Linked DNA regions of Schizosaccharomyces pombe. The gene in region 2 interacts genetically with the main gene of each other region. Each region holds a gene or a part of one and is shown on either strand. Other genes may lie near its edges.

Region 1 (4,983 bases), 3.7 Mb from region 2:
CCACTTTCACCTTTTGAGCAGTAGACGAATATGAACATTTCTTCTGCACAATTTATTCCTGGTGTTCACACAGTTGAAGAGATTGAGGCAGAAATTCACAAAAATTTACATATTTCAAAAAGTTGTAGCTACCAAAAGGTCCCTAATTCGCACAAGGAATTTACGAAGTTTTGCTATGAAGTGTATAATGAGATTAAAATTAGTGACAAAGAGTTTAAAGAAAAGAGAGCGGCATTAGATACACTTCGGCTATGCCTTAAACGAATATCCCCTGGTATGTTTGAATATAAATTTAGGACTGTCTCAATTATGTAGTTAACGAGAGTGGAGACTTTACCAAATATTGATAATGTCCAATTCTAATGATATGTGACTTAGATGCTGAATTGGTAGCCTTTGGAAGTTTGGAATCTGGTTTAGCACTTAAAAATTCGGATATGGATTTGTGCGTGCTTATGGATTCGCGCGTCCAAAGTGATACAATTGCGCTCCAATTCTATGAAGAGCTTATAGCTGAAGGTAAGTATAATTATTCATTAAAAGTTATTCAGTTTAGACAAACTATCTCTGAATATTGTTTTTTTCCTTTCCAGTTGGCTCGCATAACTAACTATCGACAGGATTTGAAGGAAAATTTTTACAAAGGGCAAGAATTCCCATTATCAAATTAACATCTGATACGAAAAATGGATTTGGGGCTTCGTTTCAATGTGATATTGGATTTAACAATCGTCTAGCTATTCATAATACGCTTTTACTTTCTTCATATACAAAATTAGATGCTCGCCTAAAACCCATGGTCCTTCTTGTTAAGCATTGGGCCAAACGGAAGCAAATCAACTCTCCTTACTTTGGAACTCTTTCCAGTTATGGTTACGTCCTAATGGTTCTTTACTATCTGATTCACGTTATCAAGCCTCCCGTCTTTCCTAATTTACTGTTGTCACCTTTGAAACAAGAAAAGATAGTTGATGGATTTGACGTTGGTTTTGACGATAAACTGGAAGATATCCCTCCTTCCCAAAATTATAGCTCATTGGGAAGTTTACTTCATGGCTTTTTTAGATTTTATGCTTATAAGTTCGAGCCACGGGAAAAGGTAGTAACTTTTCGTAGACCAGACGGTTACCTCACAAAGCAAGAGAAAGGATGGACTTCAGCTACTGAACACACTGGATCGGCTGATCAAATTATAAAAGACAGGTATATTCTTGCGATTGAAGATCCTTTCGAGATTTCACATAATGTGGGTAGGACAGTTAGCAGTTCTGGATTGTATCGGATTCGAGGGGAATTTATGGCCGCTTCAAGGTTGCTCAATTCTCGCTCATATCCTATCCCTTATGATTCATTATTTGAGGAGGCCCCAATTCCGCCTCGTCGCCAGAAAAAAACGGATGAACAATCTAACAAAAAATTGTTGAATGAAACCGATGGTGACAATTCTGAGTGATTTTACAAAGAAGTCTTAAAAAGCGCATCAATATTCATTCCCCTAGATTCATAGTAATCATTCATTATTACTCTGCTTTTATTTGCTTACTTTTGAAAGCATGGAATGTTTTTATTTTTCTTTAAAAATTTTGACCTCTTGTTTCTAATACCTTTCCCCCTTTGTTTTATGTACAACCTCTTGTTAATAGTCTACTTGTTGGTGAGAAAATAGGCTCATCATAGTTAACATCAATGTCCAAAAAATTTTCATAGATCTATAATTAATAATTATTTATTGCAAATGCTAAGCTATTGTTTATATCAATTTCTTTAAATTGAACGGAAATAACCAAATATTTTTTCGTTTAGCCTCGGTAATGTGCGTAAACACATATAAAGAGTTTATCTTTTTTTCTTAATTACTATAGCGTACAGAAATTATTTTAGCTTATCAAATTTTTTCGTAAAATTCATATTGTTTCCAAATTTGTAGACGCATTGCAGCATGCTAACCATCACATTTGAACTTTTACCAAACATTCAGCTGGGTCTATTTCCCTTCTGTTCGTTGGTACAATTCATTAGAACATAATAAATTTGGCATTTTTCTCAAGGTGGGTATTTAACTATATTTCGAGATTTTGATGCTTTAAGCAAAAATGAGGATAACGAAAAGTCCTCCTAAAAATCAATATTCTCAGCCACCTCCTAGGGTTGCTGAGTTTATTAGACAAGCTCAAAATGAAGAAGTAACTTCAGACTTGGGTCTTGTCTCTCTTTGTTCAGAATTCAGAAAAAACGATTGGCCATATCCTCGTGGCGATTTGTATTCATGGGTCCCAGTTTTGAATAGGTTTGATGCTATTCTGGAACGTATTGTTGAACATTATTCTTTAAAGGATAAAGTTCAGACAAAACCTTTTGATTCTGACACTTTGAGTATCTTGTTAGAGATCCTGAGCTTTTCGGCGCATCTGCTTAGTCATTGCGCGAATCGCTCCATATATAACTCTACTGTTTATCTAGAGTATTTATTAAATAGCTCTGTGCTCGAAGTTATAGATTCTACATTAGCCTTGCTTCTTCATATTGTACAAAAAGCAACGATTTCAAAGCGAGGAAAGCAGCTGTTTTCTCTTTCACAAGATCGGTTATTTCGCTTTTTAATGTTTCTTCCTCAAGATGCAATGAAAACCGGATTTTCACAAAATTACGAGACTTTGTTATTTTCAAATGAGATCCCGCAAGAATGGTGTTCTTTGGAGCTTTCTTATTATAAAAGCTCTCCATCAAAAGATTTTTCATCTGCAAGTCAACCAAATTCTGAAGGATTTTCGATTTTAAAATTACCATATAATAAAGTTCTTGGAAAGCCTATAGAAGAGCTTCTTGTGAAAACTTTGCACGATAATCAGATTCCTGAACAATATTCATTTGATCTCCTTGTTTCACTAATGTTACGTCAAAATCTTTATGATATAAATAGACGGCGCTTGATGATTCGTATCGGATTATTGGCTCTTTCTAATCTTGTTTATGCTCATTCTCAGGCAGTTCAAACAAGATTTTTAATCGCCGATCCGGAAATCACCACCCATTTAGCTAATTTGGTTTCTCCAGATGTGGATCTTCCTCAAAACTTTAAAGCTGTTTGTTTTGAATGTTTTAAAGCTTTCTTCTTTAAGAAGAGTATGATTCCATCTGTACTGGCATCTTTAAATGTATCTGTTAGTTACGGATTAATGATGAATCTCGTTCGTGATTTTTCTAAAAACTTAGAAAACCCGAATTTCTATTACGAGAGAGAATATGTTGATAGTTTTTATGACTTCCTTCAATTTATGACTTCATCGCCTCTTGGCGGTAACATGGCCTGTTCTGCAGGTCTCACTTCTCTTTTGGGTTATCATCTGTCTGTGAAGACTCCACAGGCTACTTATGTTGTAGCAAGATCGATTGTCATGTTGGACCATCTCATCGATGGTTACTCTATGGCATTCCCAGATTTTTCTGAGTCTAAAGGATTGGATATGCTGGTTGACCGTGTTCAATACGAGCTTGAGGCTGGACTTCAAGATATTAAATCTGGAAAAGGTAACCCAGAGATTGTTTTAAATATGGATTATGCCATTTCATATGACCGTTACTTCCTTCTAAAAAATTTACTCAAGTTTGTGTTACATCTAATTCAATCAGGTGGCTCTGTCGTTGAGCTTCGTAATTTAATTGATTCTTCTCTCATTTCATCCCTTGCTTTTCTGCTAGAGCACCATGAAGTCTATGGCTCCAACTTATTCGCATCTACTACTAATATAATGTCAACATTCATCCATAATGAGCCTACTTGCTATGGAATTATTCATGAAAAGAAATTGTCACATGCATTTTTGGATGCTGTCAATCGGAAAATACTCAATTCTTCTGATGCAATAACATCAATTCCTTTAGCTTTTGGTGCAATATGCTTGAACTCTCAAGGGTTTGATTTATTTTTAGAGAAAAATCCTATCCCACAACTTTTCTCAATATTCACATCGTTAAATCATTGTAAGTCACTTATATCAAGCGATAATGCTGCCATCCTTGGTACTTACATCGACGAACTTATGCGGCATCAACCCTCCCTTAAAGATCCAATTGTGAAGATGATATTTAAAGCCTGTGACCAGGTTTCCGCTCTTCTTGACAATTTCAATCCATTTCAATATATAAATGCCAAAGAATATCCTTATTTGTTGTATCTTGAAACATTTTCTAGTTTTCTTGAAAATATTATTACAAACGAAGGTCACGCAAGGTATTTAATATCCAAAGGGATTGTGTCGCACGTGCTCAATCTCATTCAACATCCCGTACTGGCTTTTGGATTTATAGACTCTTCTGCCTTCAACTCGTTTTTTGTTCTTTTACATCATGCAGTTGATTTTGATGCTCCAGAGGTCTTTCGGCCCTTGCTAGACTGTATAATTACTCGATGTGAAGAAGGCATTACTGAGTTTACTATAGTCTCACTGAAACAAGCCACGATTTCATTGATAAAGGACTCAAATATGGGCCACGAAGATGCAAATAATTTTCTACATTTCTCAATCGTTGGGAATTTGCTGACTATTTTCGCTGAGCTATTTTCTTCCCATGCTGCATTGAAAAAAGCTGGAAATCTTCCATTAGTTCAACTTTTTATTAGTCCTTCACGTTATGCTGGTATTTTTGATATTTTATGTAATATTAAAAGCATTGCAACATCATTGGACATACATATATGTTTAGGTGTTTCTGATGACTTTGTTCTTTGCAGTGACTCCTTGACTACCATCGTTACCGACAAAGATGAAAAAGAAAAGTTTGAGACAAAGAAAAAGGAATTAACACAAGATTCATCTTTTTGTAAATTTCAGAATATACGTTCGAATTTTTCTCAAATTGCTTATGGAGTATCTAAGTTTTTCACTTCATTAACTCGAGCTTTAGGAAATACAAGCGTACAAGATTTCAATGAATACAAAATGATTCATAAACTTGGTAGTAATATCGCTCTTGTTGTTGATG
Region 2 (6,689 bases):
AAAAGCAGCACGATCACGAACCTCGTCATCAGCATCTTCCAAACACCTTGTGAGAATAACCTTAACACTCCGTTGGACAAATTTATCTTCCGCATTCAATCCAAATTTGGTCAAAGCGCTAACGGCAGCGGAACGTACGATGGCATTCTCAAGCATAATCCGATTGTAAATATAGCGGATAAATCTCGTTGGTTCTGAGGCTTTAGGACCTTCTTCGCCGAGAATAGATAAAATCCGTACCGCAATCTTAGGATATTCACAATCCTCTATAAATTCACATAACTCGGCAAGGGCTCGTTCTTTAGATTCCGGAATGTATTTAATCATGTCAGAAATAGCATCAACGGCAGCACGTTTAAATTCATAACCACCTTCATCGCAAAGTATATTACTAAGAAAGGTAAGCATTGAATCTTGCTTGCGAGGAAATTTTAGACATAAAGAACGAATGGCATCAACGACGATAATTTTGAAATTATCTGAAATATCGGACATAAAGGTAACAATCTGTTTCATCAAACGGTCGACAGACTCATCATTACCAGTCTTTAGAAGTGTTGTGATAGCGTAGGTGGCAATGGAGCGATTCACGTCGGTAATTAAAGACTCGATATTAAGATTGCAGGAATGTACTAAGTGTGGACGTGTCATGGCTAACTCGTTAAGCGTACGAATAGCTGAAAATCGGGTAGCGGATCGGTGAGACGACAAGAAAATTTTAAGAACGCTAACCACAGGTTGCAAGTCATCATCTGAGATATTTTTGAGACGGACCATATTTCTAGCAACTTCTAAGTTTACCATGTCTCCTTTACTTTTTAACCACCCATGTAGAAATGGAACCATCTGGTCTCTAAATTGAGTGTTTTGATCCATTAGACTAGAAATGTAGCGGATAAGCATAACAAATGCATGAGAATTTGAGACTGTTCCTAAATTGCTTACAAGCAGCTGCAATAACTTATTCATTGCAATCGAATCATGTCTTCGAATACGGTACAGAAGACCTAAAGCATGATATTGAGAAATGCCGCTGGCATTTGGTGTGTAACCCAAGGTAGAGGTGAAAAAAGGAGAGCTAGCAACTTTTCTACCAACATTATGAGATGTGACCGCGTCTTGAACCTCGTTGTTCCAACGCGATACAATGTCTTTCGCAACAGGATATAAATGATATGCGGAAACAAGAGCAGCGCTGGCAACAGCTGATATGGGGTCAACAATACCCGTAGTTAAAATGCGTTCAATCGCAGGGACAGTGTTAGCATCAATGACACGAATCAAAGAGCGAATAGCATTAGGACGGTATATAGTTTCACGTCCCGTAGCGGTGTCTTTCATGATACTACTGGTAATCATAATCACATCTTCAGCAACAACGGAAAGCTCCTTGATAATAATATAAACAAATTGGCGAAGACTAGGGTCTTTGTGTTGGAAAAGTTTAGTAATACCAAAAAAGAGTTCTGTAGCTTGCTTTTCCTGGAAATGCTCTCCCGTATATATCAAGTAGGCGATTTTGCTAAGAAGACGTCTACTCTTTCTAGGGCTTATGGAAGATGAATTAAAAGCCCTAGCATCTTGAGTTACTGTGACTTGATTGACATTGGCAAATATCGATTCGTCTATTGTTAAAAGGTCAGCTCATAATTCCAAACAATCAACATACCACCATCATCATCTTTTTTAGAATAACTCATCTTCTTTACAAAAGTCTCTTGTATTTAGCAGAAATACAGATATAGAGAACTAAATGAACGTACTGGATGTATGTAGTAGATAAATAATTAGCTAGTAGGAGGTTTCGATTATTACCAAAGTATAACGTGTTGTGTATTTTATATTTCTTAAGTGGATTACTGAAGTATTTTACGAGCGTTAAACAGTATAACGAAATATGCCCATAAAACACTGCAAAAGTTCGTAACTTACATGGTTTAATTGCTTTGACATTTCTCCTATATCACTTGCGTAATTCGTATATACATACAGAGTCATCTTAATTTTCTCTTATTTTTTTTTGTTTTGTTAATTAAGTTTCCCTTGAGTTCCTGATTTACCGACCTTTTGTACATAGGGAAGAGTTCTTGAAATGTTGTATTTGATTTTGAGCTATGCGACATGAATGATAGAATTAGTGAAGTATCTGGTAGCTCAAGGGCTCGTAGATCAGTCTTAAGCTATGGAACAACCGAGACCGGAAGCGATAGATACACAGAGAACAGCAACATTGCTACAGAGAATGGTGTCGATACAGCGAGTTCAATGATAGATGGGATACAGTCCGGATTCCCGCAACCTAGACATGGTTTTGAAGAAGAGTACAACAATGCTGAATATATAAACATGTTAGAGCAGGTCTTTTACATGTATTACACTGATAAACGGCATCGGGGGGTGATCAGCAAAAAGAATGCCGAACCTACTGAAACAATTCATGATTGGAGAATGCGCGAACGGCTTAAAACTGTTTCTGCAGCATTGTTAGTTTGCTTAAACATAGGGGTGGATCCTCCTGATGTTATAAAGCCTAATCCTGCAGCGAAATATGAATGTTGGATTGATCCGTTTTCATTACCTGCTTCTAAAGCACTTGAAGCCATTGGCAAGAACTTGCAGCAACAATATGAAACATTAAGTATGAGAACAAGATATAGGCATTACCTTGATCCCGCAATTGAAGAAGTCAAAAAACTTTGCATTGGTCAAAGACGAAACGCTAAAGAGGAACGGATCCTTTTTCATTATAATGGTCATGGTGTCCCAATGCCTACTGCCTCTGGTGAAATCTGGGTTTTCAATAAAAATTATACTCAATACATTCCTGTATCGCTTTATGACTTACAATCTTGGCTTGGAGCGCCTTGTATATATGTTTACGATTGTAGCGCAGCTGGGAATATCATAGTGAATTTTAATCGTTTTGCCGAGCAGAGAGACAAAGAAGCTCTCCGTATTGCTAAGCAAAATCCCAATGTGCTCGCTATGCCTTCTCATACTAGTTGTATTCAACTTGCTGCTTGTGGGCCTAAAGAAACCCTTCCGATGAACCCAGATCTGCCAGCTGATTTGTTTACTTCTTGCCTTACCTCCCCAATTGAAATTTCGGTTCGTTGGTATGTCTTGCAAAACCCGTTTCCTAATAAGCTTAATTTGAATATGCTTCTTAAAATTCCCGGTCGCTTGCAAGATCGGCGTACTCCATTAGGCGAATTAAACTGGATATTTACTGCTATTACAGATACGATTGCTTGGAATGTCTTTCCAAAGCATCTTTTCAGAAGATTATTTAGGCAAGATCTTATGGTAGCAGCACTGTTTCGTAACTTTCTATTAGCGGAACGTATAATGCTCGTTCATTCCTGTCATCCTCAGTCCAGTCCTGAACTCCCCCCTACCCACGATCATCCTATGTGGAATTCTTGGGATTTGGCCATTGATAATTGTCTATCTCAGTTACCTGATATGCTTGATGCTGAAAGCAAAGGCATAGCCTACGAGTACAAGCATTCGACATTTTTTAGTGAGCAATTAACTGCCTTTGAGGTATGGCTCTCTCAAGGACTAATTAGCAGAAAGCCACCGGATCAATTACCGCTAGTTTTGCAGGTATTACTTTCACAAGTTCATCGATTGCGTGCACTAATTCTTCTCTCAAAATTTCTGGATCTCGGGGTGTGGGCGGTAGATTTAGCGCTCTCTATTGGTATATTTCCTTACGTTTTGAAACTTCTCCAGTCTCCAGCTATTGAGTTAAAGCCTGTGTTGGTATTTATTTGGGCGAGAATCCTTGCTGTAGATGATTCTTGTCAAGCTGACTTACTAAAAGACAATGGCTATGGATATTTTGTCCAAATTTTGAACCCTAATTCTTCCATTTTTCCTTCAAGTAATATTTCCGAACACCGAGCAATGTGTGCGTTCATCCTCAGTGTTTTTTGTCGTGGGTTCCCACAAGGCCAGCTAGCTTGTTTAAACCCACAGGTTTTATCACATTGTCTTTCCCATTTAAATAGTCCCGACTCTTTATTAAGACAATGGGCTTGCCTATGTATTTCTCAGCTTTGGGAAAATTACTCTGAAGCTAAATGGTCTGGAACTCGTGATAATGCACATGTAAAATTAGCTGAAATCATCGTTGACTCCGTTCCTGAAGTTCGTGCATCAGTTTTAACAGCGTTTACCACTTTTTTGGGATTTCCTGAGAAGACCGAAGAAGTCGTTGCTGTTGAAACTTATATTGCAATTGCGGCGTTAGCAGCTCTTTCTGATGCGTCACCATTAGTTCGACATGAACTAGTGATATTCCTTTCTCACTTTGTAGTGAATTATAAGAAGCAATTAATGGTAGTTGCGTATGAGAGCAGTTTAGCAGATATCCTTGAGAAAAAGAACCACAATTCTATCAGTGCTTCGACAATTTACGAAACAGTTTGGCAAGCTGTTTTGGTTTTGGCTGCAGATCCAAGCATCGAAATTTCTCTTGCAGCTGAAGCCATAATAAATTACGTTTATCAGAGTATGCTAAATTCTGAATTAAGAGAATCATTTTTAGCATTTCTTCTGCAACACTTACCTGCTCTCCATAAAGCTTCTCTTTCCAAAGATACCGATACTAATTCAGTTACGAGCGACCCGAAGCCACATCCCTTCGTTCCTTCTGTTTCAGAAAACAAAATCTTGAACAGGTCATTCTCTCTGACTAGATCGTTGAAAGGCTTGGCTTTAAGCCTGGCAGGAAGTGATCGCGCTTCTGAATTACTTTCCTTAAATGGAGAAAACAAACCTGCAGAGTCTAATTTAAATCACTTAACTTCCGCCAAAGTTCCTGGTCCACCTGCATTTAATGAACTTGAATACCAATCCGAGCTAGACATGCCGCTTACAAGTTACTTATTTGATTGGTCTCGTAAGTATTTTACCGAACCCCAAATGCGGCCGAACGAAGACGATGAACCTGGAAGTATTTGCTATAATCAACGTTTGTGGAGAAGAAACAGAAACGAAAAACTTATTTATCGTACTCGTCCCCTTGCTGAATACTCAACCAACGGTCGTTGGAATCAACAACTTATGACATTTAATAATACTATCGCTCCTAGGAAGCTTATGTTTCACCAATTTGAAGATCAGTTAATTACATTAGGTGACAAAGATATCATTCAGGTATGGGACTGGCGTCGCAATCGTTGCCTCAATTCTTTCAAAACTTCAGCAAGTGCGACAACTAACGTGACCGACATGCAATTACTAAATGAAGATGATGTTGCTTTATTGATGACTGGGTCTTCTGATGGCACAATTAAACTGTATCGTGACTACGAAAATGAAAAGGTTGAACTGGTAACTTCGTGGAATTCTCTAAGTGATCTTGTCTTTGGAGATCGAAATGCTAGCCTTTTAATGAGTTGGCAACAGAACTGTGGGCACTTGCTTGTTGCTGGAGACGTACGCGTTATTCGAATATGGGATGCTTCTAAAGAAATCTGCTATGCAAACCTACCAGTAAGAAGCAGTAATAGTATTACAAGTTTAACTAGCGATTTGGTCGGTTGTAATATTATAGTTGCTGGATTTTCAGATGGAGTTCTTCGTGTTTACGACAAACGATTGCCTGCAAGAGATTCACTAACGGATGTTTGGAAAGAACATTCGTCCGAGATCGTCAATGTTGAAATGCAATCCTCCGGAATGCGAGAATTGATTTCGGCGAGTTCAGATGGTGAAGTTAAGCTATGGGATATTAGGATGAATCATTCTTTACAGACTTTTTCAACAGACAACTCTGGACTCACCTCTTTAACTGTGCATAGTCACGCCCCAGTTTATGCAACCGGTTCCTCAAATCAAAGCATAAAAATTTGGGACACGTTAGGCCAGAATATTAATACCTTCCGTGAAAATCCACGGTTCCTTAATCAGCCTAAACCATCCAGTTTAATGTGCCTGAAGTTTCACCCGCATCATTTATTACTTGCATGTGGTGATAACACAGATAGTAGAGTTAATCTATACTCTTGCACCAAAAACGAGATTCATACGGATTCGCCGAACGAGTTTTAAACCATGTTTTCCTATAGTTTTAACATAATTTATTATTGATTACTTTACCTGATTAGACTTTTCTTTCTATTAGCAACACTTAATTTGGTTATTATACATATTTTGCTAAACCTGCCACTTTGCTTAGTCTTCTCCTTTGCCGTGTAACTCTGCTATAGATATTTGTAAAACCAATTTTTAATATGGTTTTGAAGAAGTTTAAAAAATCACTAATTTACAATTAAGATATTACATTCATCGAAAAATTGAATCTTTTATATACATTTTATGAAAAAGCTAGTAATTATCAATGTTTTTTAATGTCAAGAAAAAAAAGCTTTTTTTAACTTAAAAAATAATTAATAATATACTAATATACCAATTTATTTATTTATTCACAATTTCATGTTTTCGCATTGTACTATTACTTTCTTATATTCGGGTCGTAAATTCTGATGCAGCTGAAGCTAACGAAAACTCTCCCATTCAGCGAAAATTTTATAATGGCAGATTCCGAAGAATACAAGACTGTCATTGGAATTTCTTTTGGAAATCAAAACAGTTCTATTGCTTTTAATAGGGTAAGAAAATTTTTTTACTTGGAGAAATGAGTAATCTCCTAGTTCATTCGCATAGACTTGCTTTAT

Evidence for each region. A genetic interaction does not mean that the proteins touch.
Region 1: of mip1 (region 2) and ptr1, a mutation in one rescues a mutant of the other (synthetic rescue), as found in Schizosaccharomyces pombe (one study listed by BioGRID).

The regions. Positions count from the first base shown.
Region 1 is NC_003424.3:5,206,683-5,211,665, forward strand, and holds the start of ptr1 (E3 ubiquitin-protein ligase), read left to right. Parts: upstream 1-1,957; 5' UTR 1,958-2,093; coding exon 2,094-4,983. Other genes in the region: terminal uridylyltransferase Cid1, read left to right, coding at 31-274, 379-519, 621-1,453. UniProt on the Schizosaccharomyces pombe protein: Probable ubiquitin ligase protein involved in mRNA export. E3 ubiquitin ligase proteins mediate ubiquitination and subsequent proteasomal degradation of target proteins.
Region 2 is NC_003424.3:1,516,723-1,523,411, reverse strand, and holds mip1 (WD repeat-containing protein), read left to right. Parts: upstream 1-1,969; 5' UTR 1,970-2,121; coding exon 2,122-6,063; 3' UTR 6,064-6,189; downstream 6,190-6,689. Other genes in the region: coatomer gamma subunit Sec21, read right to left, coding at 1-1,625, 1,670-1,700; ssz1 (putative heat shock protein Pdr13), read left to right, coding at 6,546-6,623. UniProt on the Schizosaccharomyces pombe protein: Component of TORC1, which regulates multiple cellular processes to control cell growth in response to environmental signals. Tor2 is essential for growth. Nutrient limitation and environmental stress signals cause inactivation of TORC1.